3 linked regions of the Struthio camelus genome follow. The main gene of each other region encodes a partner of the protein of the gene in region 2 in a complex. Links are inferred from orthologs where the notes say so. Each region holds a gene or a part of one and is shown on either strand. Other genes may lie near its edges.

Region 1 (10,572 bases), on a different chromosome or scaffold from region 2:
CCATCTCTGTAAAAATATATCAGCACATTTTGAAATGCTCACATGTTATACACTGCACGTAACAGTAATATTCCCTAGGCCACAGCTGCAGCACGAGCTTAATTCTGAGCTCAAGGGTGAATCAAGAGCTCATCAACAGAGAAATACATTCCAGAGGATTTCAGTAACCAACGATCTTAAAATTACAGCACGCCTATTCACCTTTGCACCAGCATTCTGTACTTGAGTCATCTGGGTTATCTCATAGAAACAATACCAAAGAGGATTTCAGTGCAAGTACAGGGGCTAAAAACACATCCCTAATTTTCGCCTAGAATCTGCAAGAGTTACATGGCACCACGTGTTGGAATTTCCCTACAACAGTGCTTCTTGAGTGCATCCTATACTTCTTCACATCTACTGTATCATTCCTGATACAGCAGATACAGCTGATGATTGCCTGTCATATACCTCCTGTGGCCAGGGGTGCAGACATAGCCTGTGAACTTCCCCAGTGTCTGAAAGGCAGATTAAGAGCAGCACTTTTGGGAGTCCTCCCTCTTCAGTAAGGGTGGCCAGTGTGCCCATGTCAGAGTCCCACTGGCTCCTTCAGGAAAAGGTGCCTCTCACCTTCCCCAAGCAGAACAAATAGGAGGTCTTTGGTCTCATTTATCAAGTCACTGAATAATAATTAATAGTGCTGTTGTTATAATTAGGAGGACAAAACTAGGAAAAGACAACAAAGGAGTTCTGCTGATTAATTCTAGAAGTTGTGGGTTTGAAGTTTTACCACAAATCATGTGCCAAGTGTAAGGCACATGAGAGGTTTATACCTTATCTCTTTTCTTACTGGCTAACTCTTACTGTGTCAGCCTCAGCATATGAGAGCTTATCTAGTGAATGTATAGTACAAGGCATTTCTTTTGCAAACAAGTTAAAAACTCACCCTTGCTTCACTAAACTGGTTTTGACCCTTCCTGGAAGACACTGAGTCTCTATCACCTTCAGGAGACCAAAATGACAATCACAGGTACTATTAGGTAGACAATTAGGTAGCAAGTACACATCCTACAACACTGACTAGCCAAGTTCTCTTGAGGCAAATTTACCCAGCTAAATTTCATCTAACATTTCCCCTCCAGGACATGAAAACGCTCAGATAAACAAAACAAAAATCATCATCAAGAAGGGACTACCTCTGAAAATATATAACCTATGTTGCATTCAGGGAGGGACAAATACTTATATCAGCACAAAAAACAAACTAACATAAAATCCCCAACCAGGCATCATCCATTTTAGAGGAAAGTGGTTAGGAAAAACAACTCTCTAAACACCGTCAAATGGAAAGGGAAAGCAAAAGGAAAAAGAAGGATTTTTTTTTTTTCATTACTGTGTTCAACCACATTAAAGGACTTAAAAATATGTTATCATGCTGCATTATATAGCAAAACATATTACCTAAGAATTAAGGTCTTTACTATGTAAATAGTTCAGTTCTTCAAGCACTGAGGTATAGTACAGGAACAAGATCTGGGAATTAATACCTTTGTCTGGTAGATTTCTGCAGGTGCCCTAAATCAAACTAGCACTGCAAATATACAGTTTTTATTTATTTATATTGTTTGCTTATATATCTCTAACCTTGCAAAGTCCCATTCTTATGCAATGTTGTCATAACTCCTTCTAGAGTCCTTCGAGTCCAAATCCGCAGGAGCCCCCCACCTCATCTAAATGGACTCATTTATAGAGGAGCCATGATGCAGCGCTACCAATACCTACCTATAACTTTCTGAAAATCTCAGCTTTGCTCTTCCTAAAAGTACTTCCTGTCTCCGTCTCTATTGTTATGTGGAAAAGACTAAATGTGACCAGCATAACACAAAATCTCTAAAAGCAAACTATGCAAAGCCCAAGGAATACGTAGCTTTAGAACCTCATTATTGTTAAACCAGTGTCACCCACTGTCACCAGTACTGATATCATAAGCCAGAATTGCCTTGAGTTTTTCTGCCTGAGATTCTTAATTCTTCCCTTTAGTGTCACCATGCTACTCAGTGTCTCAGATGCTACTTTTCTTTTGCAAGATACACTATTAGTGTCTGAGTGGCACACCATCAAAATCATGTCATTGGTTTTGCTCTGGGTCTGTTCAGGCCTTGGGACAAATATGCTGTACATAAAGTGCATCTCTCTGAAGCATGCAAGAGAGAAATCTTGGAGGTTGTAACACCTTATGCCAATGTTAACGTCTTACAACCATCAAAGAGTCTCCAGCTCCCCTTCATGCAGTGCTCTAGGAAGCGTTTTGCAGAGCATTACACCTACCATTCATCAGCAATAAAAACTGGAGCCTGCCTAAAAGGGAAGGTAAGTGAGTCCAGGTTTTCTCCTCTGTACAGTACTGTTACCTAAAGCCTTTTTTGCAGTATCCTTGGCCCATTGGCTCACAGGACTGAAACCTATCAAGAACAATGAAAAGTTTAGAGAACCGCTTACTGTTAGTGAAGAAAGCTGAGAACCCAGGTTATTTTACCCCAAGGAGTCTGGATTTATTTTTCTTACTGTAAGCGCAAATCCAGCCCTCCCTCTCTGCACGTCAGAGCAGTCGTTTTGAAGGAAGGACTGAGGTATATGTCAGAACTATGTGCAGGATGCTCTAGGCATCTGGGTGGAAACGAAAAAGCAATCCCACTGAAGTGGGAGCCTGCAGACATGGAAGGGGAGGAGGCTGACAGTTCGTGCCCCCCACCCCCAGGCCACTGCTGCTGACCCCGCAGGAGCCAGGCCTCTGGGGCTGTGCGTTGCCTTACCCTAGAGGTAGGCTCCATTCTCCAGGGCAGATGAATGGTATGTGTGGCATCGCCAGCACAGGGCATGCTGGGGCACCACATGGAGGGAAGCTGGCAACTGCATGTAGCTGCTCTTGAAGAACCTGGAAATAAGGGGGAAAAATACAGACTAAAACAACAAAATGCGTGGAAACGGGCTCCTCCTCTGTTTGCACTGGGGTACTTAGCACTCACCCACGCCTAGGACAAATTAGCTACTGTCTCACTGTATTAATAAACCCCTTCGACAGGCATACTTTAAGTTCTCCCTTCCCTCACCAAAAAGTTTTAAAAATCCAAAACCAGTCAGATGCTCCAGGTTTGTAGAGTCGGGATTAAAATTAGACTCAAGCACACAGAAGAAACTGTCCTTTCAACTTCTCCTGGGGATGAAAGTGGCAAAGTCTCAACCTAAACAAAATATTAACATTTCATTATTCCTTCCTAATTGTCTAGTTTATGATTAAAGAAAGCTCAGTGCTTCCAGGGTACTTTACAAACAGCAGGTCCTTTGAGTGGCATGCAGTGCAAAAGAAACCCTGAAGTTAACTCTAAAGCCAAGATTTCCCAGAACAGGTACTTAGCAGCTGGATCCGAAAGCCTACAGTCACGCATCTAAACCAGCGTCCTCATTGTCTGTGTAACCCAGGGAGCTCCTGGCCACATGAGACCACAGGGTGCCTGCCTGGGAGGGTTAACTGGGGCCACTGAGTTAATGAGGATGTGGATTCAGAGCCGAACTTTACGGTTCTCTCGCAACATTTTTCGGGCAGGAGGAGGAAGGGCAGGCTGCGGCTCCGGCTGCAAGGCGTGTGAGCCGGGGCCAGGCCGGGGCCAGGCCGGGGCCAGCCCGCTCCGGACCGCCTGCGCGCCGAGGCTCCGCGCACCGGCCCGGCATCCCCGTCCCTCCCCGCCCCGCTCCTGGCGCTGCTCCGGCAAACTCCTGGGGACACCGCCGCTCCCCGGCGGCGAGCTGCACCCCGGGCTCGTCCCGGCGCAGCCCGCCCGCCTCCCCTGCCACCGGGGCCGGGATGCGGTCGCTTCCTTTGCCCGGCGCCCCTGGAGGGAGCCCCCCGGCCGCCCCTCCGCCGGCCCCAGCAGGGCCTACCCAGGAGGGGCTGCCGTGCCGCCCCCCGCCCCCGGGCCGCCACGCCTGCCCCCAAGCACTCACCATATTACAGATGGAGGCGATGTTTCTGACAGTCATTAGTCTAAAGGTTGCAGCGATCCCACACCGCCATCTTTATAAGGTGAAACCAGCCCCGCTCATGGTGGGAAGAGCGCAGGAAGGGAGAGGGGGCGGCGGAGGAGGCTTCTGCTCCGGGGCTGGGATAAAAGCGAGAGGAGGGGACTGCACAGGCACCCTAGGCGCCCGCAGAGCAGCCTGGAGGAAGGACCTGCCTGCCTCCCCTCCGGCCGAGCGACCGGCAGCTTCAGCAGCGCGGCAAGAGCAGCCGCATCTCTGCTCCTTCCGCCTCTCCCTCTGCACGGTCCGCAGGGCCGCGGGCTCCCGCTGGAGCGCTCAGCCGCGCCTCTGCGCCAGCCGGCACCGCGCTAATCTCTCCCTTCCTCCTCCTCCTCCTCCTCGCCTGGCGGCTGCCGTTGCTGCTCGTCGCTCCATTGCAGCGCAGCGCCCAGCGATCCGCTCTGCCAGCGCCAGCGAAGGGACGGGAAGGGACGGCCGGCGGTGACCGGCCGGGGCGCCCCGCGGGCCCGGCCGCCGCCGCAGCCAATGCGCTGCGGGGAGGAGAGGGGCGCGGGGGCCGCTCCTGCCGCCCCGCACGGCCCGTCGAGGGGCCGGGCCCTGCTGCCGGCGTGCTGCCGCGGGGGCACCGGGGCAACGCTAACCGCCAGGCCTAGAAGGGCCGGGGAACTGCAAAACCCAGATCTCTTTAAATATATGAAATCATATTTGCAAGAAGGAGCAGAAGGCAGGGTCCAGGCAGGAACACATGGATGTTTAAGGGTGGTAGCAGCACTGTACCTTGGGATGTGCTCCCTCCACCTAACTTTAGGTACGCAGGAGCCTGGGCACTTCTAAATCCCAGAACTGAAGGCAGGAATCTAACTTACTGCCTACAGCTGGTGCTTTGCTTTGCGATTTATGCAGACATTTACTTTCACAAATGTTGTTTAGGGAACATGACCCCCCACATCATGATACATACTAGAGCCCAAGTGCTCACTCACAAGCTCACAATGCCTGGAACATATACAACACCCTTAATGCATTAATCTCAGTTCATCTTCAAAACACTCAAGTAAATTGAGGTCCATGCCATTCTGCAAGGTATGAGTATATTAAAACTGCACATGCAATAATCTGCACATGTGGTAAACAAGGATGTTAAATAGCTAACTCTTGTCTTAACAACAAATCTCTGAGAGAAACAAGAACAGAGTTCAGCTAGGACAATGTCTCATCTTGGAATTCCTCTCTGCTTGAGCGGAGATTGTTGTTATCAGCAGAAACTTAAGAACACTGTATTTTCATCTCCTATGCTGAGGAAATCATCCAGATGAAGAGAGAGAAGAACTGCCAACATCTAGGGATCTAGGAGATGGGCATGCCTCCTCCTAACAACACCTGGAAATATGGCATACTCATGCTTGGCTACACTTTTCACCTCACAATGCTAGAATATACACATTTTGGTCTATAGAGCCCGGCCCCACATGTTAATTACAGAAAACATTCCAAAGTCACTAAAGTTTTTGAGACCCTGGATTGCAAGAGAAGGCCTCTGACTGTTAATGAAAATCTATCACCAGCCAGCAACATCTGAAAGATGAATTCTTAGCCCGAGAATACTGTTAGATAGCTGGCCTCAGTCCAGTTCATCATGGACAAGTGCCCACATTACAAAAATGATATCAGTTTGGCATTAGTTGGCATCCTGTTGACAGTTTCAGCAAAGAAACCCAGAACTGAGTTGTTATGGAGACACAACTTTCTTTCCTCAGTAACTGGAAGACAATATGGAGGAACCTGTACTTCTAACACCTCTCTTGAAGATTTGTTGTAGGCAATGGACTGAAGTCATAAGGTCTATTAAACTATTTCACTGCGAAGCATTTGCTCCCTAAATCTACAAATTTGCTACATAAAAGAATTATCAAATAAAGTAACAGTGAGAAAAAAAACCCATCCTTTGTGTTACTCTATTATGCTCATGGTCTTATGCTGCTTATGAATTTGACCCCAAGTGTTTAACCTGCTTAAACTCCAAGGGCTGTTTATGAGTAGTATCACAAGTCTTTTTGAAACAACCAAGAGAAATGGGAATTAAAACAGAGATGTCATTTCAGGACTGGCCACCCCCAGGCTCAATTCTGAAGCAATCAAGGCCTGAATCAGTCTCCAGTGCATTTCAGAACAGCCTATGGAGACAGACAATGCTGCACCATGGCTATTTTTTTAAAAAAATCCCTTTTATTCAGGTAGCCTAATTCTGTATTCTTTGCTGCACCCCATTTATTCCAATTTACTGCAAGGAATCACACTTGTCTCAGTGAAAAAAATTACAAAGCAAATGAATGGTTTTGAAGGGTGATTAAAAACTGAAAAGAAACAAAATGCGGTAACTAATAAAGCCATTTACTTCAAGTATATTCTAATGTGAAGGATATTATTCCCAGAGCATAAAACACAAAGAAAACACAACAAGAAGGAGCATAAAAAAGTTTAAAAAAGGTAAGCAGCATTTTCATGCTTTTGCTTTCTTGCGGATCCCAATTACCTGACTTCAGGATAACTTCAGATGTTTGTTAAACATTTCTGTTAAATTAAACAAATTGCTATTAGTTGAGCAAGTTATTGATTGTCCAAGGAAATGGCCATTGTTGGAAATAGGCATATTTCGAAATATAAAGCATATACATATATATGTACACACACATATATAGATGCATATAGATATACACGCATGCACATATCATCCTCAGAAGATTTCAATGTCATTTTCCTAAAGCTTATATAGAGTCTTTCATTTAAGGGTATACATATTTCATATCTTCTTTTGGAGGATTTATGATAAAAATAGGAAATAATACACAAGTGTTTATATGCCAGTTTAACAATAAGTTTAGCACTGACTTTTTCTGCTCTTCAGTCACAGATCAAACTAGGAAATAGAAAAGTAACTTTCATACTTGAAATGGGTTGGTGTGTGTTTTGTTTTTTTCTGGTGTTGTCATTTTCAGAACTAGAAACTTTATTTCTGTAGCTTTTTGAAGATAAAGTGCTAAGAAAAGCAACTAATGCTAGTTCCTAACATTATAGGAACTGTACAAATAAAGAACAATGAATAATTGTTTCCACTCCAAAGTATTACCCTATCTCTTCATAACAAAGAGCTAACCCTGTGTTTCTTTTCAATGTTAAACAAAGAGGAGGAAAACAAAGAGCTATTTATAACCTAAGAATGCTTATATAATTTCTGTTGAAAGGTCAAAAAATGTCTCCCGCATTTACTTTTAGAAGTAAATCAGTTTTGGTCATCTGGTTATATCCTTTAACACTTTTATTTCACTACATAAAACAAGCACCTATGGTAAATATCCTCTTTGGCTAACCGTGCTTTGGACTTTAATAATGTATTCCCTCTGAAGTTCTGAGAGTACTTTGCAATCATTCACTCAGCCTTGTCAAATTCCTGGGTGGCAAGTTAATATTAGCCTATTTTACAAAACAAGAAAATAAGCAGCAGAAGTGCAGTGACTTGTCCAAAGTTACACAGGAAAGTTAGTAGCAAAACTGGGATTAGAATACATGCTTACTCTGTAATACAAAGAGGGTACTATGCTTCCTCTTCAGAAATCTTAGAGAATTCCACAGAGGATTCATTTACATTTTTATTGTAATAAACTATGGTCCAGAAACAGGTGACCATCAGTAAATTATGCTAAGCAGTGCTTGAAACAGACTCAAATTCAGGATATATTTTCAGGTTTAAAAAAAGCTGAAGTGGCTTTAATGGTAAGAGCAATTAAAACAATACTCAGAAGCTTTTTGGAGGGGGTGGGGGATTTGGAGGATACATAGTAAGAATGGAAAAAGAACTCAAATACCTGAATTACATTATCAGTACTGAAAGTATGCTTACAATTTTAGAAACTTTTAATATTTTGAATATCACATTATTTATGTTCAATAAAAATTATCAGTATGTCTTTGTTAGGATGAAAAATACGCAGATGATGCAAGCAGAAAGACTAAGAACAGATACATAGCATAGAACACTGAGGCTACAATTTCTAAATTTTATTTCAGTTGAGGAGAGGAAACTTTAGCAACACATACTCTTCTTAAAGTGTAGAATTTTTATTTTTGAAACAGAAAGGTATCCGGTATTCCTGCAAACTAATACAATCAAATTATATGCTATATAAATACTGGGCCAAATCTATTTGGCCTTACTCTATCTGCATAACACTATTTCCATTTTCAGTATAGTCCACCATTAATTTCAGCAGAGAAATAGTCCTGAAATCAGCTCTCAGGACCCTGCTCTTAGTTCTCCCAAAGTAATACCAACTCTGATAAGTAGAGACTATTTAAAAGTTAAACAATTGTGCTTTCCTATGGAAAAAGCCAGGAAGCAGAGAAGACAGTAGTAAATCCTGTGCTAATCCCTTTCTGATTTTACCAGTGGATATTTTCCATGAAGCTTGGCCTCCATTGCAGCACTGCAGATTGGGAGCTTTACTACAATGCCAGTTCCCAATTTGTAGTCCATGCAGAGAGGCCATAATACATGGGTTGTAGTAGGTCCATGGAACCCACTGTACTTACATTTAAAAATCTAATGGTAAGAGTGGATTGTAGTCCATGACAAATTGATGGTGATCCACAAAAAAAAAAAAAAACCCACAAACAAACGTGGGGGGTTTACTGGGGACTCCCTAGTCCTCCCAGAAATGTAGAATCACTAATCTTCTTTAGGATGGTATCAGCTTTGCACCAGCATCTACCCCTCTTTTTCAAACGATCTAAAAAGTTATTTTTCTTGATTTAAAACATGTTTATGCTTTTTCTTCACCTTTACAATCTTAGCAAGTCATACTCCCGCTTACTGAATATGAAGCACAGAGGATGAAACTTTGCATTAAATTCATGCCTGTATCTACCCTAGCTTTGTTGATACAGACATTATTCTAGTAGGTGGAGAAAGAATACTGTCTTTTATTTTTCTTCTTCTCAGAAATTGCTATTTTAAAGAAAGAAAACAAAATACAGTTATAGCATCCGACTTTTTTTATAGTTAAATGTCAGATTTGAACACCAAAAGACAGCAGAACAAAGTAGATGTAAATATATTGATGTCTAATACTCCAAAAGCTGGCTGAATAGATAAAAGAGATTAATAGTTTTGTGTTTGTAACCATTAAACAGTTCATTCTATGAACAGGCTCTTTAGGCCTTTACAGGCAATTTGATGTTCAATAATGACCTAGAGGTGTGATTATCTCACAACGTCTTACTCCTGCTTTTTTCCTCCTACTTGATCATGTTTCATAAAATTGCATTCCCGATATAAATTAGGAGCTTTGACAACAACAGCTTAATATTGGGCTACAGCTTCATTGATTTACCTAATACTGACCTTTACTGACACACTGCTCAGCTGAAAATTCTCCCTCATTTCCATAAGGTAGAAGCTTGCAGCCTCTTTATTATCTGGTACCTTGTTTAGCAAGGAAGTTCACTTGTGAATTTTACTGGCATATCTCTTGCCTATACGAAATGTACTTTGGGAAAAATGCTATGTAAGTTCTAATCATTAAGTATCACCTGGGGGGGAGGGGAGGGGGAGACCAAACCTTAGTCATGGAAGTAATTTACCAAAAAAGAAAAGACTCACTGAGCAAAAATAACAGAAAATTTAAGTTTCTTACAGAAATGTATTGCTATTTCTGCCTCTGGAAAGGAAATAACAATTCTGTGTTGCCTTTGCTTTCTCCAGAGTTTTTATTTATCATTTTTGTTCTAGTCTACGGGCTCTAATTTTAAGTAATTTACACTCTGAGAACAAAACACAATGGATATTTTGACAGTAGACAAGCTGCAAGTGGCAGTTGATCTACTGTCAGCATGAATTTAAAATAGTCCTTTCATTTTATGTAAATTGTGGCATAAATTAATTAAATTATATTTTTATTAAATTAGCAGTATTACTCAAAACCTAGCCTTATTTGATGCATAAGTAAAGAAGACCGCTGCAGTGTAAGGTCTCGATCTTGCCAATTATTTAACATGGATGAATACTAACATCCATCTGTAAACACTGACAGTCATCTCACAAAAGTTTACTTGTTTGGTCTTCCTTCGTATCAGTGTGGAGAAAGACAGTGAAATTGAAATAAAGCATTAGTGATAATTGTGAACTTCTTTGTGAACTAAATACATGATGTTTTTAAATAAATGAAAGCCTTCTCTTAGCTTAGATAGGAATCAAAGCAGTGACTTTGAGGTGAAATTCATGCATCTTACGAAGATAGACTTTATCTGATGATTAGAGCACCAGTTTTCAAGACCTGAACAGCTGAATTCAGACATATAAGCTTAGTGCTAAATCCACAAAATAACCAGGCACCCAGCTGTCACTTAGCTAAGCTCAAAATGCGACTTTCCAATCTTCTCAGTGAATGCCTAAGCCAGAGGTGCCCTGATGTCTAATGGGCCTCTGTCTAGATCTAATAACACTTACTGGCATGGTTGAACCATGTGCCTGATAGCTTTCTCCAGGGCATGTGCAAAACC
Region 2 (10,047 bases):
AAGCAGTCACTGCTACTGTTCACAAAATTCAACCAGTTATTCTGGTCTCTCCTAAAGCTTACAATTCTATATACTTTAAAAGCTTTATTTTCCCTTCACAGAAGGAATTGTATACCTTTTCTGATACACTCTTTCACGTTTAAGATATAGGAGTAAGAAGAAAAACAATTCCCTACTGTATAAAGGACGGTAACAACAGTTTTCTGCATCTCACAGGAAGAAACGGTGACAACCAGTTTTCTATGACGAAAAAATGATACTAAGGCAAATTAGGTAAATGTTCCATTTAATTCTTTATTTCTAATATTAAATAATTATCTTCACTAAAGGTCCTTGAAAGCACAAGAGGGGAGAAAATTAAGATGACAGGCAATGGTTTTGCATTCAGTAAGTTTACTGGATGCCATATCATCCTTTCAGATGAACACTGCTTCTATTTTTAGGGCAGTCAGATAAGGAAAAGAGTTCTCAGCATGATGAATCACTTCTCATGAACACAATGTGAGCGGAAAATGGTAACTATGGCACAAATATTGACTTTCCAACTCCCACTGGAGCCTAATGACATCCTACTAGGTGTCAGCTACCTCCATGGAAAATAGAATACATTTCTTTTTTCATCCAAAACATAAAGTGTTAAATGGTCCACATTTGCAAACCATAAAGTCATTCAATTGGGAAAAAAAAAAAAAAAATCAACTTTTAGAAACAGAGGTGCAATGCCAGACGCATCCAGGCTTGTATTCAAATACAGTAATTATATATTAACATGCCATAGAGGAACAAAATAAGGCTTGTGTGAAATCTGCTGAAATGATGCTTGAAATGCCCATCTTAACACAGAGAACCTCAAATAGATCAGTAAGAAAAACGGCATCCTTGATTTAAAGGCCTGACGGTTGTGTAAGATGGGGGGGACAGCAGGCAAGCTGACAAAAACGAAAAGGTCACTAAGATGAACAGAGGAAAGTTGCTGATAATCCACACGTGATTCTCTATCATACCATTATGGGGGAGGGGGGAGGGGGCTGAAAGTTGCTTAAAAATGAGTGATATTGAGTACATTAACATTTCCTTAGTCATTATATTTACTATACAAATTTTAAAAAAAGCATATAAAAGTGTATTAGTATACACACATACACATGTTTGAATACATACATACTTTATATGCTTACATATGCAATTGTGTATGCTATTTATTATGCATAACATATATATGCATTTACATATATAGTGTATGTACATATGCTTATATAAAACACACACATATGTGTGTGTAAATAACATAAATGAAATAGGTTTTCAGCTGAGGACAAACTGCGCAATAAACTTCAACTCTAACCCATGTCATACACACTTCTATCACTCCAGATGAGGTACTGTAATATATGTAGAGAGGACTATGAAGGTCAGCAGGAAGTTGTATCTGTAAGCACCCCCTGACAAACACTGCAAATAGGGGAGCCTAAGTGCACATTATTACTTTGTTCATTGGGTCGGTTCACAATCAGTTTTAAACCACAGAGACGATAATGACTATGATAAAGATCTAGTGGTGTAATTGCCACAATGGTCTGAGCGGGGCAAGGTTTGTGGGAGATGAAACATTTTCATAATGACCAAGGCCTTCTACTTTTATACTGCAGTAGCTTTTACAAAATCCCCTAATGAATAAGAATGTTTCACTACAGTAGATGCTGCACAAACATTACAAAGTGATGGCCTTCATTATAAAGATTTTATGGAGTTCAGTACCCTAAACGGTTCAAGACTAATCATTTTAATGACTATTTTGGAGCGCCAAGAGCTAAATCTACAGTCAACAGAAATTTCAGCGTACCAAGTCAAATGAAGTTCTTGAAGGACCTATGATGTTTCTCCTTTATGGACAACAAGTATATCAGCTAATCTGAAATTTTGCTACCCATGTGAGATTACATCTCTTACAACAGACACTATCCTAACTGATGGGCAGAATCTCCATGTCTCGAATCTGCTTTAAAAATATCAGCACACCATCACGGTGGAGGATAAGGTGAACAGCCAAAATCTGACAGTGTGCATTTCTTCTTCCTAAGCAGAGAAAATTTTCATAGACACAAGTGCTACCATAGATAATTGTAAAAAAATGGTATTTTTCAAAATTACTGGAAGGATTCCACAACATTTGGCATCAATTTCATTAAAAAAAAAGAGAGAAGAAGAAATCAAGAAAAAGCAAGCTATTTCTTTAGCATCTTTGTAGAGCAGATGATACACCTTAGAATAAGTTGTTAACTAAGGAGAGGTCTGTATTTGAATTATCAGGAGTTCCAGACCCTAGAATAAAAGTAATAGAAGCTATTGTGAATAAGATGAATTTTTCAGTGAGTCAATTGACTTCCTATTCTTTTGATTAGGTATTACAAAAACAAAAAAACTAATATATTATGGCATTTAATATATTTAAATTCTAGCATGCTTTTAATACAGGCTACTATTCAAGAAAATTAGTAGCTGAAATATTTTCTAAATGTAAGGGAGCTTTTTTGTTTCACTAGTTTCCAGTTGCTGTCATGATACAGTACTGGTGCAGAAACATGATAGAAACTCAGTGCAAAAGTGTTTTCTTATTATGTACAGCATATTTTAGTGCATGATAAAAAGTACTTAAAATTGATTCAGTAAATTCGTAATCAAGATACTGATCGAAATCACTTATGGTGAAATTCACCCTTTGGGCCAAAGGGATTTGAGGGTGGAGGGCGTCATACAGACCAGGCAGCAGGTTTGGGAGAACAGTTACAATGCAGTCACTCAAAAAAAGCTACTTTAAGCCATCTGCTGAAAAGTGGATTCATCTTGACTTAATCCACAGTAATACATCTGAAAGTCATAGCACATGGCCAGCCCTTTCTCACCAGATAGCTCCTGCTACTCCCACACCACTATATCCCCATTCCTTCCCCAGCTCAGGCAGCCTTACTATTGCAGCCTTCATATATGCATAGTTAAGCTTAAGAAATGCAAACAGCATTCCAGTCGACATTTTAAGTGCCTGATCTACATTTAAATTTCTTACCTTTATTTATGTACAGAATCTATTTTGAGGCTTAAAATGTCTACTCTGATTTAGCCCTCAAACACATACAGTTAGATACACAGAAGTGCCTTAAACCGACTGTTTTGGTTGCTTACCAGTAAAATGGATGCATCTAAGATAATAGTTCAGATTTCAGTAAACTTTAACCAGCTCTCATGTCAGGTTATGAATGAAGTTCCTCTATGCCCAAAAGGCACTCTTCTGAAAGTCTTTTCCCCTATCCTTAAAGGTTCTGGAGAAAATTCTCCTTTTTTAAAATAAGAATTCCTAAAGAAATAGGATTACACCAAAAAAAAACCACCTAGTTATCATAAATATCTTCTCCTTATGAGAAAAACCTGCAAGAACTTGCATATGACACAGGTAATGAAGTCAATAAAGGGATATTATATTTCCGATTCTTTGCCTTTTAGACATTGCCAGAGGGTTTTTTTGGAAGAGTAAGAGAATTCCTTATCTAATACAGTACAGGCCAAGTGCTTACCTTAACTGCGGAAAACCACTAAAGGCTCTAGAAAATATTACATTTCCTCTCCGCAGCAAAATACAAAAGATGCATTCAAAAACCGAACCCACCTTTGGAAGGATCCGGATACTATTTCAGAATTAATCACTATTTCTTTTGGTCATAGTGGCTAGACAGAGTTGAGACTTGAACTTGCCACTAGAGGTAGGCAGCTTTACACAGTGATAAAACATTAAATCTTTACCGCATTTAAAACTGCAAAAATATTTAAGGAGCTGGTAGTACGGAGAAAAAAAAAAAAAAGTTAAGGATCATAATAAAACCGTTTTAACCACTTCAACGTTAAAGAGAATCTTTACTTTCTGTAGGTATTTCAGCACTCCCAAACTCCAGCAAGGTTACTCGGAATACTCGTACCTACATAGACACCTGCCCTACGAGCCACACTGCAAAGCCTGATCACGTCTCAGGTGCATTAAGAAAGTTTCCATCCACTGGACTGACTTGCCCACGGTCTTCCTTTAGGGAAGGCTTAGTGGGAGCCGGAAAGGGGAGAGGGGTGGGATGCTTCAGCCCCGCCTGACCCAGCTCAGCCGCAAGCCGCGCTCCAGCCCGCCCCTGCGCGGGCGTTAGCGACCGCGGGGCGCTCCAAGGGCCGCGGCGGTGCCAGGCGGCCCGCACCGCCGGCGGGAGAGGGCGGGGGGCCTCGGGGGTGTTGGGAAAGAGAAAAAGGCGGCTGCGTTGCCATGGAAACCGCCCTATTCCCTCTCCCCCCGCCCCCGATGGCAGTCAGGGCCCAGCCCCGCGGGCCGGCGGCGGCGGCGCCTCCCCCCCCCCCACCTCGGGGCGGGCCCGCGCCCTCCGGCCTCTCCCTGACCCCCCCCCGCCGCCGCCGCCGCCGCCCGCTGGCCCTCCCCGCTCCGCTCTGCTCCGCCCTACCCCGCCCCACCCCCCCGGGCCGGGCCGCAGCCGCGCCGCCTCTACCCCCGCCCGCAGCCCCCCGGCCCGGCCGGGCCGCGCCCTCACCTGCACTTTCCGCCGCCCCGCCGTGTTCTGCCGATGATGCGCCGCCATCTTGCATGTTGACACTCTGATGTCATTTCCGAGGAGGGTGAGCCGCGCCGGAAGTCCCGCCCCTTTCCCTCCCTGTAGCCGCGTAGCGGGATGGGGAGGTGTGGCTGGCCGCGGCGTTGCTAGGGGAGCTGCCCGAGGGGGCGGGGCCTGAGGGGCGGGGCCTGAGGGGGGCGGGGCGAGGCGCGGGATGGAGGCGCGGGATGGAGGCTCCGCCATGTCGTGCGCGGGCCGAGGGCTGCGGGTTGCGACGGCGACCGCCTGCCGCGCGGGGCAAACGCTGCAAGGGAGATGCAGCCCGAGCCCTTGTGTGAGGCTGTCCTGTCACGGCCGCCTCACGTGTTACAAAAAGAGGATAGCGCTGATAGCGAGCCGCCTCGGGAGCAGAGCGGGTGCGCGTTGTTTTGTCAGACGGACGGCCATCCCCCCTCACGTCCCCTCGGGCCGCATCCTTCCCTCCTCCGTGAGGCCAGCAGGTGCTGGGCCACACCGCGCCCTGTGAGAGAAGGCAGCTCGGGGGGGACCGGGCCGGCCTCATGCTTCGGGGTGGACGTCCCGCCCCGACACCTGAGGAGCTCTCATCTTGTGGGCGATAGCTATGTGAAGTGGTGTGTGGCGGACTGCCTTGGTGGAAGACATCTTTACGGTGCTGGTTCTTACAGCAGAACTGCAAAGCAGTGAAGGTGGTTAGAAGAGGAGATGGGTGGGATGAGCAGATAATTAGTGAAAAAGAAGGATTTTTACTGGCAGAGCAAATAATCAGTAAAGGGGTAAGGAAGAAAGGGTGTTGGTTCATGTTCTTGATCAATACTGGTTGCAGCCATATGTGGAAGACTCAGTAGCTGCTTCAGTTCTGCTACAGAGATAAACTTTGTGTATTTTGATACAGATCGTGTCTTCTAGCATTGCTGAGTGCAGCAGGATCTCATCACAGCTGCAGGTGGAGGGTATGATTCTTGAAGGAGATCTTCCTTGACCAAAGCTTTCTTAACTCTAGCATTTCTACTATTTTGTCCTTATTATGGTCGTGGGAAGCATATGATTTGAGGCACCTCATAAGTCAAGTATGAAACTGTGTTTAATTTATTTCATTTTTTCTAAGATAAAATTAAACCTTTTTCTGAGAAGAGCTCAGTTGTGTATTGGCTTCTGGCCAGCAGTAATTATCAAAGAGTCTCAGATGCTGTCATGCATAGAATATGTTATCTTATCATATTCTGGGCTGGAGAAAAATGTGGCAGTGTGAAGTCTTCTGCTTAAGTAAATATTGAGCAAAGTGCCTCGCTACATTTCAGTATGTGTTAGTCCATTAAAACGCTGAAGATTTCTTCTAATTGCACAAGTTTTGTGCATACCTCAAAGTCATCTCTTACTGTCTTTGAAAGATAGTGAAATGTTTGTGTTTATGATTTTTGTGATATTCCTTGATAAACTGGAGTAATAATTTCATTCATAAATCCTAGTCATCGTTTCATAATCCATAATCACTAATGAGTTATTCATTTGATAAAATTCATCTCATCATGTTGCGTCTGCAAGGGTAGTGTTCATTTTTTGTATGTTTGGTTTAAAGTTGAATTTACTTATGGACTGAGGACCTTTTATTTCTTTACGTTATTATGGGATTTTTTAAATTTTTTGCATGTTTAAGAGCTGGCTATTCATGGATAGTCATTGCTGTTTATATATATATAATACAGTGCTTCTTAATTCTTTCAGATCATCAATTCATTAAGTTGAAGTAGAAAAAGATCTAGTGATCTCTTTATATCAGACAGTCATTGAGGTTGCAAGGGACCTCTGAAGATCGTCTAGGCCAAGGACTGTCATATTTGCCTCTTTTTTACTGAAGGCTGCTGAAGATATGAATTATGATAAGGTTCTATGCTTTATGAGAGTATGTTTAGCAAGCCTAAACTAACCCAGAGTCATTAAGTTATAAGGGTAAGATTATGCAAAAAATACGGTAAGTAAGATTTTCTTTGTTAAGCAGTAAAACTTTCAGCATTTCATCACGTTTGTCTCATTTTAGGAAAGTGATAAGATGATCTAATTTGTTAGGTTAGCTCTTTGCTTTTTGTTGTGAGACCCTCTGTTCACTTGTTTAACTGTGACAAAATTGACTCTTCCACATGCAAGCTTCCATTTTGGGTTCCTCCTTTGGGTATTGAGTGAGGTTTTTGATATTAGGGAAACTATGTTTTGATATATGAGTCCAGAGGTGACTTTTCAATTTCCATGAAAATCATCTCTGGCTAAATTGTGAGCTTCTGAAAACACCAGTGTGAGCAAAAGAAGGTTGAGCCAAAATGGAAGCAGGGAGAATTGAATAGGGTCAAGGGGTTAAGCCAGGAGGTTGACACCAGGAGAAAAGTAGGATGAAAGTGCAAGGAATAGAAATGCTTATTGGGTGAATAATCATTGTAATAGGTAAGAATATAAAGATAATATTTCCTCTGTACTGGTAGACTCAAGAGTCCGATAGCATTTCCCTGCTTCTTCTGTCTTCTGTTCCAGTCCTGCTTTGTAAGGTTTGACTTTCACAGGCTTCCAAAAAATGTTAAAAGGATTCAGAAATATGCGATAAGAATGATTTGAGGCCTGAAAAGTATGAATGACGATGAAAAATCCAGATGGATTTTTTCTACAGAAGAAGAGAGGAAACATGATAGCTATTTTCAAATAAATAAAAAGAAAAATGGAATAAACTCCTTCGTGTCCATGATGAATGAGACAAGAAGTAATGGGCTGAAATTACAGTTCAGGAAATTCAAATGAGGCACTAGAAAAACCTTTCTGGCAGTCAGGATGGTGAAGCACTGGAACACGTTCCGTATGGAGGTTTTGGAATCACCATCTGCTGTATCGAATATCTCTAGGAATTATATCAGTGTAGCTGATGCTGCCTTGGGCTATAGCAAGGACTAGATGCTTTTAGGAGATCCCTTCCAACTTTGTTTTTTCGTATAATTATGCAACTACAAGTGGAAAAGGGTGTTCGTAAAGGAAAACCTCTTTAATCCATCAAGAAAAGCCATAATAGGTTCCCTAGCTGGGAGATGAGCTAGATGAATTCGAGGCAGGAAGAAGATGCGTGTTTTAAGACCAGCTAATCACTGAAAACAAATCCCCAATGGACATGATAGATTCTACGTAGCCTGAAGCCAAAAGTATTGTAGCCAATATATAATTTATGGATATGACTCTGATGTGACTGAAATTACTGTATTTAGTCCGTATTTTATGGGATGTGAAACTTGGTGATCTTAAGTCCTATTTAATTTTTTTTGCATGGCTGAATTTTTCTGGGATTTTATATTCTGCACTTCTCCATATACAAGACAATTATTTAAGTAATATAACCCACTGTTTTTTTTTTTTAAACCTTCGTGTCAAAAATCTGCTATAAAAGTCACAAAATTATGCTTACACAGCCTGTACAATAGTCACAGATACTACTGTGGTTCTCTGTAAGTAGTGGGTTTAAAACTGCACTTCTTTCTGTTAGGTTAAGTTCTGGAAAGTTGCAGAATATCATCTGAAATAAAGTTGTAGTTGTAGAAAACGGTCGAGCAAATATCCAAGTTTTCTGTAGTACGTACGCGTGTTAAGGTTTAGAATGAGTGAGTATTTGTAGAAGTTTAATGAAAAATACTGCAAATCAGTTTACACGCCATTTTTGCTTACTGGATCAGGAGTTAGTTTCTTCAGTAGCGTGGAAGAGTGAGAGGGAGTTAAATTTGAGTCACTAAGGCAGTTGGTGGGTCTGGGCTTGTATCGCAACTAGACCGTGTATGAGCAAAAGGCTCTGCGGATATACTAGCAAAACAGTGACTGCTCATTAATTTTTAATTACTACCGCTTGATGTTGAGTAGAAACTGTAGAACTAGGATAATGGAAAGAAAACAAATTTTGAGTCATTTTGATAAATAAGATGCCCCAGCTAGCTAGACAGGAGGGATGGACAGAATTTAAACAAGAGAACTTTGGAGAATAATTATCTCAGCATGAAAGTTGATTTAAGTTTAGTTTTTTCACAGTAATCTGAGAACTACTAAGTACTGTATTATAGTTCATTCACATGTACGGCTTGTTTGTTTCTCTTTAATTTGCAAAGCTGCTTGGTATTGCAAAAAATTTACCAGTTGCATCCTTGACAAAAAGGTGAAGTTTAAACTTCAATCTTACAGGGAACTGCAGTAAGAAATAGGTTTGAAACCAAATGACCCAGTCTTTGTGAGAGCTGTGGTACTTGCCGTTTCATAATCATGCCTGGAGCCATACAATAAAAGGTGACATTTCATGAAGAAACTGTATGAAAAACAGTGCATCAGAAAGATTGGAAATCTCTCATAGATGATAATAGTAATGTTTTGCATTCTTACAACATCTTACTTTTGAGGAATACAAAATACTTCAAAGATACTAATAGTATATTTTTCAGAATGCCAAGAAGAAATAGATGGAATAACTGTCTTTAGGCACTGAGCTGATTTTCAGTCTTATTCAGTGCACATTAGATCATTATGCAGAAAGCTACTTTGTGTAACAATGCCTTTAATGTGTACTTACCATAAAAGCCATTTCCTGTTATTCTGTAAAACCAATTAGCTATTTAAAAGATAGGAAATTTCATGTCAGTGTACTTTCTTACTCTGCTGTGCTGTATGAACAATGGGAAATGGGAATCATATAAATTACTATCTTGATAAATACATTAGCTACTTTACGCTATTACATTCTTTTCTAAAAGGGATTGGGGCACACCTTTAGTTTAGCTCAGAAATGTTTCTTAGTCTCCGCCCTGCAGTTCCTCCTTAGGGTAAAATCTGTTGAGAGACAAACGCAGATCTTTATGTATTTTCTATAATATAATTCCATTTCTGTGTTTGTGTGTGTGTATTCTTTTGTGTTGTGTTTTATACATAACATTGTGCATTCCAACAATAGCAAAGAAGGCAAATCCCCCCTCTACCTTTCTTTTTGCCTGCTACTCTATGTCACTCTTGTTCCGTGGATTTGATATTTTACAAGAGACGTTCCTGGCATCTCTTGATTACTTGGGTCTTGAGCCTAAGGGGGTTCCTGAATCTCCTGGCCAGCATTTGAATTTATTCAGCCCATAATGGATGCATTTGAGTTTACATTGTAATAAGCTTGTATGCATTATTCAGAGATAGCACTGAATTTTATATGTCAGCTGTTTTATGGTATTCCCCAAATTGTAGGCACACGTCTCCCTATCTGCAGGTGTAAGTCCCAGAGGGAAGGGAGGATCACAAAGTCTCTGAAGCTGCAACTACAGCGAACAGAAATCCCCTTGTGCTAGTAATTACAGTTGCAAATAATATTTCTATTGCAAGCGTATCCAGTGCAAAGATGTCTGCTCGTATTACCAAAGAGTCTGAAATTTTATTGCTGAGC
Region 3 (10,662 bases), on a different chromosome or scaffold from region 2:
CCAATTGGTGTATACAAACTTCTTTAAAGCAAAATGCACTAGCTTCCTAGCAGAAAGAGAAACAGATTCATGATAATTTCAGCAGCAATCTAGAAAGCTTCATTTTGTCAGTCAATCCTAAGGCAAGGAAGATGAGATAGCCCTCTCCTTTTCAAGCCTAATGAATCAACTAATAAATCATTTTGCAAAGCTAGCCATAAACCAAGTTTAAGTATGCCAAGACTGTATCATAAGCAAGAATCAAGTTACACCCCTCACTCTTGATTTGGGGCTGCAGGGAAAGGGATACCCCTCCAAAGCATCAATACATTATAGTTTGAGTAATAGTTTCTGAATGATTTCCTCATAACCCCTACTCCACGAATAAACAAACTCCTAAAACAAAGAAAAAAAAAAAAGCTTCCTGTACGACCTAGAACTCTCTTAAGCATGATTAAGTCAACAATCCACAAAGAACAGATCATTCCGAATCTGACTAAAGGCTGAACTGAAGGCTTTAGTCAGGTAAGGCTTCACAAGACAGCCAATTGGATCTGACAGCTCGCCACCACTGAACAGGGCAGTCTTGCTCCCTTTCCCAAACCCTTTCTTTGTACTGACTGTTCCTGCTATATCCAAACCCAAAGTGAGATGGCTAGGCCCACTGTACTGAGAGAAAACCCACCCTGAAAAATGTCAGTATTTACCAGCTGGTTTAGCAAGCTGGACTGGCTCAACCAGAGGGTGAGTAGTGCCAAAGCCAGCAAGAGGGAGATAAGAGCGCGCTGCCAGAAGGATGCTACACTGCAAGACCATCATTTTCAGCTGTCCCTAAATCAGTTAAGTTCATGGAAATTCACCACTTTCATTTAACAAGACATCATTGTACACATCTAGCCTCAAAGTCAAAGCTGAGGAGGACTGAAAGTGAAAGCCAAATAATACTCAGTGCAGTCAGGAATAATTATATATTTTGCATAAGTAAAGCGACCACATCTCATTCCATTACAGTTTAATTTCTCTTTACTTAACTATAGGCTCACTTCCCTTTTCAGTGGATCCAAAACAGAAAGTAGCAGTTTTCTGGAAACCTTCATTGCCTTATTAATAAATAAATAAAAAAAAAAAAAAACTGTGCAAATTTCAATATGAAAAAAACACTGGCTCATAACAGATGTGCTTTCATTGAGGAAGGTAACATAAAACCATGAAATAGTAGAAACTCAGCTTCCTTTTTAAAGATGCAAAGAAGAAATTTGTGTTTTCTCCATAAAGCCTCTAAGGACAGCTCAAAGTGCTGTCCAACCCTCTTCCCTGAACTATCATCATCATATATCAGCATTACAAGTTCTGCACGACTGCTCTGGGAGCTAGACATAACTTTTAATCCAAGTTTCTTGAAAGAAGGATCAAGGTTAAAGAAAGATCCCTGGAAATGGTGATCCTCACATAAGTTTCGTTTCCTAAATAAAACACACACAGCAGTAGTCTAGGTAAAAAGACAATTTACAAAGTAGATATAGCAGATAAAGCATATCTAGTATCCAATGGAAACTAAAAGAATAAAGTTTGGTATCAGTGATTTTAAGGAATAGCCTTTCAAGTAGTATCTTTGACTCAGTATTCAGACCATTTATTCTTAAGCATCATCCATGGCTTAAGCCTGAATCTTACTTGATGTGTACTGACCTGCACTGGATTACCAACGCAAGAATTATCTAGGTACCTAACATACACGGCTCCTTAAAATACAGCCCTCATGACTCTTTCACTCATTTCAGTAAAAGTGTAGAATTTTGTCAGCAAGAAGCGGACCTTAAAAAAAAAAAAAAAAAGAAAGAAAAAAAGCAAGCTACCAGATATATACAATACAGCTTCACTAACATCATCTTGTTCTTTGTGTCATGCAGAGATTCACAGATCAGTCAGTTTTAAATGCCCATCCCCTCCCCAAACAGAAAGGCTTGCAAAGAGTTTGATAGTTTGTCCAGTTTAAGAGAGTGTTATTCACTATCAATTTAGGCAACAGTAGCTCTCTTCTGTTAGGATAGCTACAAAATACGTAACTTCTGATTTTGAAAAGCTCAAATGATCATATCAAAACCTTGTTCTCATGTCAATTTTCTACATAGACAAAACAATGACTTCCAACTGAATAATTTCAAAATAAGTTCCTAAGGAACAAGTATTACAAGTTTAAGATAGACCATCTTTCCCATTCTCAGTTAAATTATTTACATTAAGCATGTTTTAATCTATTTCAGCTGTTTCTCTAGGTTCATTGTACTAAAGTGAATGTTATATATATATAGGATATACACTATTTTTTAAAATGGTAATACTGTAAAAGCTTATTGAAACAAAATCTGTTCTGGATGAGTATGTTTTACACTAATCAGAGAGAAAAAAATAAAGTATTTAATGTTGTAACAGGTATGCCTCAAAGCTCACAAGTTAACAGTTTGACAAACCAAAATTTTCAGTTACTGTGTACCGCAACACACAAAAACAGCTTTTAGTATCTAGAGAAAAGTATTAGAAAAATACTTTGAGCTTAGCCTTTTAATTTGAAAAAGTTATTCCCTATTTTCAATGTACTTCCAGGATTTAGATTTTTATTCTTTGCAGTGCAGTAAAAGATGACTAAGACAACTGGTAAGAAACACATGTAAAATTACTACACTACATGAAGACCTGCTCTGCAATATAGATTAGAGAAGTCTGCAGCTACTTGTATGGAAAAATGAATCCAAACATGGCAATAATTTAAGAGACGGATTTTTAGAGATAAGTGCCACCCACAATATCTTGCAAGCATTAAAGATAGCAACTGCATGTTTGATACAAAACACTCATCAGGTACTTAAAGAAATCTTTGTTTAAATATTATTTACAACATAAGTAGATTGTTAAAATCCATTAAAGCGTGAAACCAAAATCTGTAGGCATTTTTTTCATACAATTACATAGGACAGATCTGTCAAGTCATAGTCAACAGATACCCAGGCAGCTTTTATCTCCAGTTAGCGCTTACATTTTATATAGGTGGAGGAGTGATGTGGGCACTAGCTTAAGTCTTTGTAGATTCAGGTATAATTCTTTGCTCGCCTACAAGCTTCCTGCGTGACCTTGGGTACGTCACTAGTTCTCTGTGCCTTCATTCCCTGTTGCTTGGTGGGCTACAAGCAGGAAGACTCCAAGGTACTCACATTATGGCTGCTGAGTCTCAAATACGTAAGGTAACGAACATCCACTTTTCAAAGCAGAAAACAGAAAACTGACAATCACGACATCTATGTTTACATATATTGAGTGACGTGCATTCACACAGCATGACAAACTCTGAACGCCCCACTAAATCCCATGAGGCCAAGGACCCTAATAAACAACAGGCAGAACAAGTTTGTTTATAAATACAGTGAACTGAGACATCAAAAACACACGCTGTTAGCCGTGCATCAAATATTAACATTTAAGGAGGATCTCTTAGGTTGAATCAACATTTCTTTCCTATAATAACAGCTTTCTCTGTGTTAACTATTTGACATGTAGCTCATTGCACTGCCCCCATTTAGAGACAATCCTAGAAACAGTCCACACTTCAAAGCCACAATAAAGGCCTAAAATTAAAGTGAAAGCTGTAACTACTTGGTTAAGGCTAGGAAGATATGCTCTCCCACCATCCTGGAAGCAGGGATCTGACATCACCATAACCATGCCAAGCATTAGTGTCCAGCAACCTCACACCTGAAGCAGCAGGTGAAAGAGGCCCCGAGTTGCCTCACTATTGGAAAGCCAGCCCTCACCCCTGTACGCCAAGGAGGGGCCAAGCAATCACATCCCTTAGAAGGGCCCCCCACACACCTACCGCTGGTGACAACCGTATTTTGACGTAGCCCTTCAGCACTAAGCCAGCGCCAGTCCACCTCGCACAGCCCTCCAGGCCAGGCCTACGCTCCCCCTCCTCGAACCGCTACCCTACGAACCAGCTGATCGGGAGAGCAGCTAAAGCGGCAGCTACAGCCGAGCCCCAACCGAGGAGCTGCCAGCCCCAAGGCGAGGCCCCGGGGGGCCCGAAGGAGAAGCGGCCCCGCGGGGCGGCCCCAGCCCCCCGCCGCCCCCCGCTGGCACCCGGCGAGCCCTCGGCGGGGGGGGCGGCCCGCCGCGGAGCTCCCCCCCAGCCCCTCTCCTCGCCCGGCGGCCGAGCCCCGGTACCTTGCGGACCCCCTTGTAGATGTAGAAGTACAGCTCCCGGCCCACATTGAAGCAGAGCCGGTCACCGTTGCCGCTCTGGTCGTTGACGTTGACGAAGGAAACGCGGACCGGGTTGGAGCCCTGCGAGTTGAAGGGCACCCGGTTAGGCCGGCTGTACTCCGAGTGGCTCAGCAGCTTGTACAGCCCCTCCCGGGTGGTGAACTGGGTCTTAATCTCGTTCATCTCCTTCCCTCCTCCCTCCGCCGCCATCTTGGAAAGGAGCATTCATCCTGCCCCAGTGCCCGGATGTAGCTCCACTGCGCAACCGCAACCGTCGCCGCCGCCGCCGCCGCCGGGGCTCGCGCGGCCCTACGCGGAGGCGGCCACGCAAACGGCGTAAAGGGGCGGAGCGGCGCTGCCTGTTTACTGCCCGTCTGCGCATGCGCCAGGTGGCCGGCCCTTGGGTGGGCGCTGGCGGCGAGGGGCGGAGCCTCGGGCGTGGGGTGGGGGCGGGGCGCGTGCCGGGCGGGGCGGAGCGGAGGCTGCGGAGGGGGCGGCTCAAGATGGCGGGGGGCGGCGGGGTTGCGCCTGGCGGGTGCGGGGCGGGGGTTGTACCTGACAGAAATTCGTCGCCTCAGGGCCGGAGCGCCTGTCCCTGACAGCGCGCGAGGCGCGATGGTAACCACCCCCGCCGCCTGAGGCGCCGAAGCTGGATTTCGGTGTGCGCCGAGCAGTGGTTTTTTGCAGGGTTACGATAACGGCTGTGCGCGTTTGAGCCTTTTCCCCGGGTGGTCACAGAAATGGAAATGGGGTGCCAGCTCCTTGGCTTTCTGTACTGAGCTACTGTTTTGTTGTGGCCCAGGCCAGCTTTGCCCGCAGGTTGTCACTGGCGTGTCCTCGAGGTGCCAAACTGCTGGCTCAGGTGGGGTTTCTAAGGCTGGCTGGGAGAGTCCCGCGGGGTAGCAAGCCTGTTGAAGGGGTAACAAATACAACATGCCGTTCACGTTGCAAGTCAGGCCAGCACTGCTCCTAAAGGAAGCAGTACCAGCATCCCTCCAGCTCGGCACTGGTCTCTGCTTAAGCTGATGGCTGCATGCAGAGCCAGGCTGGGGAGTTGGCCCAGCTGAACATTAACCTGCAAAACTGGTTGTCCCGTAATGTACTTCATTGTTCTGATCGTCATCCAGCTGGCTGTGTTGCATGGTGAACCAGATCAATGCCCCTTTGCCCCTTACAGGCACAAGGGAGGAAGTTGCACGGGGTCGGAAGGGATTGTTTCACTGGGTAGGGAGGAAAGACTTTCTTTCGGCGGCAGCAGTTTCGGTTTAAAGAGGTTGTCGTAACTACAGCCTCGTGGCTTGAAATTATGGCTGACTTAAGCTAATCTAAGACTGATCTCCCACTATAAAAAGGGGTTTTGATCTCTGTCTTCAGCTGCATATTTTTACTACCTCTCTTGCATCAGTTCTAGCAATCGTGCAACCAAAGGTTGAGTCAGAGCAGCTTGAAAGCAGACCCCACAAAAAGAAATGGCAGGTTCTCAGACAAGGAAACTGCTGATCAGCAACTGAGCTCATCCAACTCATCCCAGAACTGGTAAAGCCAAAATAAGGGAGGAGTTAGGAATGTGCAACTGGGAGAAGCTAAGCAGCACAGAGTTAGATCACCTAAAAGTAAAAATAAAAAATGCACTTTAAAGGTATAGTTTCATATTGTAACTGAGTTGGTCTAATGTGGCTGCTACCAAAGGAGGTGTCCTGCTCTCTTCATTCCTGACTGTGATTATCTGCTGCTGCTACTTCCTTCACAAGCAGTGGTGCTCATCTGACCTCATGGGGAGCCATTTCAGAAAGATAAATGGGCAGAGAGTTAACCCCTCCTCTAAATGTGAAATGAATGGTATCAGATGAAAAACAGTAACTGTGTAGGGGAGGGGGCAGGAATGTGTGGCAGAGCAGGAGGGAAGCAGGACCTCTACCTCCCTTGCTATCCATTAGATCAGCTCAACTACAGAAGTCCACTCAGACCCCAGGGGGCAAAAGGGATTTAGTCTCAAATCAATTTAGTTAAAAATGATTTCGTTTGTGGCTAAATACCATCTTGCTGCTGAGCATCAAAATATTATTACAACGTAACTGAGACACATGAAAGAGCTGAAGACCTCCAGGCTAACTCATAGAGTAGATATCCGAGTGAACAACTGAACAGGTACAGATAACCTTTAAAAAGATCGGGTGTTGGAGCCTTGCTTGGAATTTGTGAGATAAATCCAATCAATAATGACCAATAGATCTTGTCAGCTTATCAGCCAGCCCTGCCAGATGGTACTGATGACCTCCTAAAAGCACATAAAGTAGGTGAGTAGAACTGTGGTTATTTTAGGAATCATCATCTTGAGAGTCATTCTTTCATGCAGAAATGTCATGTACAGACTTCCAAAGAGAAGAAGATCAGAATGTTTTCAGTCATCACAAGAAAAGCAGGAAATGCAAGGATCTCTAAATAATAATAATATTCAAAGCAGACAGGAATTTAACCAAGAATGTTAATTGTTGCTCCAAGCTGGCAGACTTGGCATGTCTTATTCATTACACAGTGATAACATTGGCAAGGTCACTATGAAAAACAAAGTAGGCAACTTTGGTAGAAGGATTGCGTGGAATGCAAATCTTACTGAAAGCACAGCAGGCCATCTGTCACTGATGGAATGAGTGTGATCCAAAGAATAAACAACGTTAACACGTACCTGGTTATCAGCAGTACATGATGGTGCAGAAAGTCAAAGACCTGATGTAGTGTTTAACATTTACCAAGAAACATCAATAAAAGCTGCTGAGAGATTCCACAGAGAATCCAAGACAAATATTCATTTCAAAAACACAGCTGCAAGTCACAAGAACACTATTGTACAGCCCCATCAACAGTCCTTATCAAATACTTGGTTAAGGAATGGGAAAAAAGAGATTACACAGTTAAGCCTCATGAAAAAGTTCTCTGTGCCACTGTAAATTCTTCTGTTTCAAGCTAACTAAAGATCATAGTTCTGAAATAGTCCCATGAGGATGCCCATAGATGTGTTATTTTGTAGGCACTACACAATCAATACATCAAAAGTCAGTCAGAATCACTACTGAATCCTTTCTTTACTTCTCCCAAATGTTTTGGCAAGTTGGAAAACAGACATGAGCAAAATTGAGTAGCATTCATAAAATAGTGTGATCCTCTGAGATCAATTTATGTAGAATATAATTTGGTCCTGCAATTTTTCAGGATGCAGCATTAATAAGGCTTTTGCTGGCAGCAGAAAATTGGAGCCTTAAGACTTATGCAATGTGAGTACAATTATCAACAAAACTTTTCTGTGCTTGAATTTGCGAGCCATCTGTTACTTCCCTAAAAGTGCAACAACTGATACCAGTGAACGCTTTTATCAACGCTTCTGAGCCAAAGAAAAGGACGATGACTACACCCATATTCTATCATGCAAAAAAATGTCTATTCTAATATGCACTGCTTGCAGAGGCAGGCAATCAGGAGACCATCTCTGCAATGTCTATCTACTACAGCAGGTCTGTCAAGTCTTGCTTGGACTATTGATGCCAAAAAGAATTTAAATATTTAGTGGGTGACTGACTTCAGAGTATCAAAAGCTCTGCAACATGTCATTTTTTACGGAATCTATGAACGTGCATGAATTACTAGCAGGCACAAGTACACAGAGATCTGCAAGCAGTACATCTGAACGAGTCAAAAGACTGATGTTGGTGAGAAGGACATGCAAGATCCCTTAATGTAATACAGGGAGAAAAAAAAAATTATGATGTTGGAAATATATTTCCTATGACTTACCCGTATGGCTTACCCGCTTTAACAGACATCTAACCTGCTTTCAGCATGAGAAAATATTGTTTATGGTATATTTTTAAACAATATAAATTGTGAGTTCCTTATTTGTATTAAGAATCTTTTCTTAAGCACTGCACACATTTAACACTAAAAACATTGATAATACATTGTGATATATATTACAAAATGAAAGGGTATTTTCTAAGCAATTAAGTCTGTACTAAACTGGAATATCGTGTATATTGTTTTTTCTCTCATCACTCCCCAAGAGGAAAAGCATGTGAAACATTTTGTTTTCATAATTTTGGGTTGTTATTACTTAAAAAAACATATTTTTAAGTACAAACATTTAGATTAGAGAAGGCAAGGTGAAAGAAATATGCTTTGCAGTTGGGAATGGATGAGAGTGAACTCTCTTGTGAATTTGGATGAGTTCATTTTGCTGTTTGCAGTCAATCTCCGTGAACGTTGTCTCCTGCACAGACTAGGTTACCTCTGTAGTGAAGAGTACCATTCTTATCAATAACATCTCTTATCTTGAAGCTTTATATATCCTGGAGATTATGCTCTCTAAAGATAAGACTGAGATTATGAAGTTGATTTAAATCCAGTGGAAAGATTGGTTTTATAGGCCTACAAATAGTTTGTATTTCTAAGAGATGCTACAGCATTCTGTACTTCTCAAAGCTCCCTAACTATGGAAGTCATCATATCCATGCATACGGTATCGCTATAATCCAGCTGAGGAATGACAAAGCTGTGAAGAAGTAAGGTTCTGATTGTTGGCCAGCAGCACTGATCAAGGTTTCGTATGAAACTCAAATTCCTAGATGGCGATGATTGTCAGTGATGCACTGTGAGAGTTTAGCTCCATCAAGAAGGCCAAGAACACTCAGTACGTAAATACTGCAAAATTATTTTCTCTGCTCATCAGAATCACCTCTTTCGTTCAGCTGATTTTTTATTGTGAAAGTCATCTTGGTGATAGTGTTGTGATAATACATGGTTATTGATAGGCATTGAGGCTCAAGCAGCCTGGAGCTGGCATGAGCAACAGTTAGTTAACGGTTAGCTAACCCTGCAAATTAACAAGAAAAGTAGCTGCCGTTGTGTGACTTAAGGCTCCCTAAGCAGAAGATAAGGAAAACTGAAAAAAATGAAAAAAGTGTCCTTGGAAAGATAACGAGTGGACTTTAACAGCCAAGGGAGGAAAAGCCGCCTTTATGGGAAATGATATATAATAAATAATAAATAATAAATAAAGAACTAACAAAGTTGTAAAAGGTGACCAGAGTCAAATGCCTCCGAACATTTTGAACATAAAAGAGATATGTCTACATGGACCTCTTAAGCTTATCCTCAGAGCCTCAGGCTCCCATGGCATCTGGCTAACTGATGGTGAGATCTTTTTAAGGGCAACTATAGATCATATGCTTAGTTTTGCGTAGTTTTATATGATGTATTAAGTAAAGTTTGCTTGTTAGAGGATGAGCTGTGTCCTGGCCACTCAGCTGCCTAGTGCCTAGATTTAGCTCTTTGGCAGCAGCAGAACTGTTGTTCCTCTGTATATTGTGTGCTGGCACTCTAGTTTGTTGTGTGAAAAAAGACTGGGGAGAGAATTGATTCTTCTAGAAATCCACAAGCAAAGAACATTCGGATAGAGTCGTTTTTTTCTGTTGCTTTGATGTATGTCTCAAAAAAGGACTGGAAACCTGTTATCACATTCCACATTTCCTTATTGCCTTTCTCACCTGAAACAATACTGTCTCAGAATAAACATGTTGTTGCAGAGAGCTTCAGAAGAACGGCTATCTGCTTGCTGTCCAGTCACAGGAGAGGATTCTCCATCAGTGTCACAAGTGTAATTTCAGTTCCATGGCCTGAATGACTGACTCCAAATTGCTTTAGATGAAGCACTGACGTTTTATATAGATTATGTTCAAATCAGCCTTTTCATGAGCTTTTCTATGAGCAGCCTGAAGCACTGGAGCTTTGGTAGCAAAAGCTGCTCATTCAGTGCGAGTTGAATTATTGCAAGTTTAAAGGAAGGAGAGCTCCCTTCTCTGAATTATGCACTGGCTTCATTATTGTCATGGTCAGGTTGCTCATGTCTCTTTTTGCAAGACAAGAAGGGCATAAGTTAAATTACCAAATCTTAGACATCCCTCTGGCATCCAGGACATCTTCCTATCTGGGAGCTGGAAAATTGGTGAATGGATATAAGCTATGTACGGTTCAAGAAAATTTCCCAATGCAATCTTTTAATCAAAGGGGGAGTATTTTTTATGCTACAGATTTTGTAACCTTAAAGGCAAAGAGAAGAGGGACCGGCTGAGGAGAAGGGGGATTTATTGCTATGACACGTGTATTTTTATGTCATTACCATATGTAGCTTACAATTTCACCACACAACAATTTTAATGCATCATAAAAAACTGTCAGCTCTCAGGCAATGGTCTTGGGTCCCTGCTCTTCCAGTTTACGTGAAACAATCATCCTTATCCAGCTCATACAATATTATATTCTGAACTAACATATACTTACCAGTAATCATTTAATCAAGTACACATAGTCCTGTGACATTTGTTGTCTTTTGCCTCCGTGTTTCTATGGCCAGGTGCTATGAATTAACATGATTTATGT

The links. The genes of interacting proteins can lie anywhere in the genome.
Region 1: the proteins of WDR48 (region 2) and USP46 are in contact, whole or in part, in a crystal structure (PDB 6JLQ), measured with the Homo sapiens proteins. The link is inferred for Struthio camelus from reciprocal best matches to the Homo sapiens genes WDR48 and USP46. Residues at the interface, in NP_065890.1 of Homo sapiens: Arg50, Trp77, Asp118, Tyr119, Lys121, Leu137, Arg139, Ser170, Tyr172, Thr188, Asp211, Asn212, Lys214, Ser230, Gly254, Trp256, Arg272, Ile364, Leu424, Lys425, Gly521; in NP_073743.2 of Homo sapiens: Arg181, Leu183, Asn184, Cys185, Glu186, Thr187, Cys222, Ser223, Glu224, Lys226, Cys232, Cys233, Ser234, Lys235, Gln236, Glu237, Gln239.
Region 3: the proteins of WDR48 (region 2) and WDR20 are in contact, whole or in part, in a crystal structure (PDB 5K1C), measured with the Homo sapiens proteins. The link is inferred for Struthio camelus from reciprocal best matches to the Homo sapiens genes WDR48 and WDR20. Residues at the interface, in NP_065890.1 of Homo sapiens: Val191, Lys207, Gly208, Gly240, Gln241, Gln242, Arg243, Cys244, Ile245; in NP_653175.2 of Homo sapiens: Arg20, Ser364, Thr384, Glu385, Asp386, Glu524, Pro525, Leu526.

The regions. Positions count from the first base shown.
Region 1 is NC_090945.1:57,619,124-57,629,695, reverse strand, and holds the start of USP46 (ubiquitin carboxyl-terminal hydrolase 46), read right to left. Parts: upstream 4,560-10,572; 5' UTR 4,018-4,559; coding exon of another isoform or gene 3,982-4,017; intron 2,915-3,981; 5' UTR 2,874-2,914; coding exon 2,793-2,873; intron 1-2,792. UniProt on the Homo sapiens protein: Deubiquitinating enzyme that plays a role in behavior, possibly by regulating GABA action. May act by mediating the deubiquitination of GAD1/GAD67.
Region 2 is NC_090943.1:6,909,720-6,919,766, forward strand, and holds the start of WDR48 (WD repeat-containing protein 48), read right to left. Parts: upstream 4,659-10,047; 5' UTR 4,626-4,658; coding exon 4,578-4,625; intron 1-4,577. UniProt on the Homo sapiens protein: Regulator of deubiquitinating complexes, which acts as a strong activator of USP1, USP12 and USP46. Enhances the USP1-mediated deubiquitination of FANCD2; USP1 being almost inactive by itself.
Region 3 is NC_090946.1:71,325,158-71,335,819, reverse strand, and holds the start of WDR20 (WD repeat-containing protein 20), read right to left. Parts: upstream 4,560-10,662; 5' UTR 4,459-4,559; coding exon 4,195-4,458; intron 1-4,194. UniProt on the Homo sapiens protein: Regulator of deubiquitinating complexes. Activates deubiquitinating activity of complexes containing USP12. Anchors at the base of the ubiquitin-contacting loop of USP12 and remotely modulates the catalytic center of the enzyme.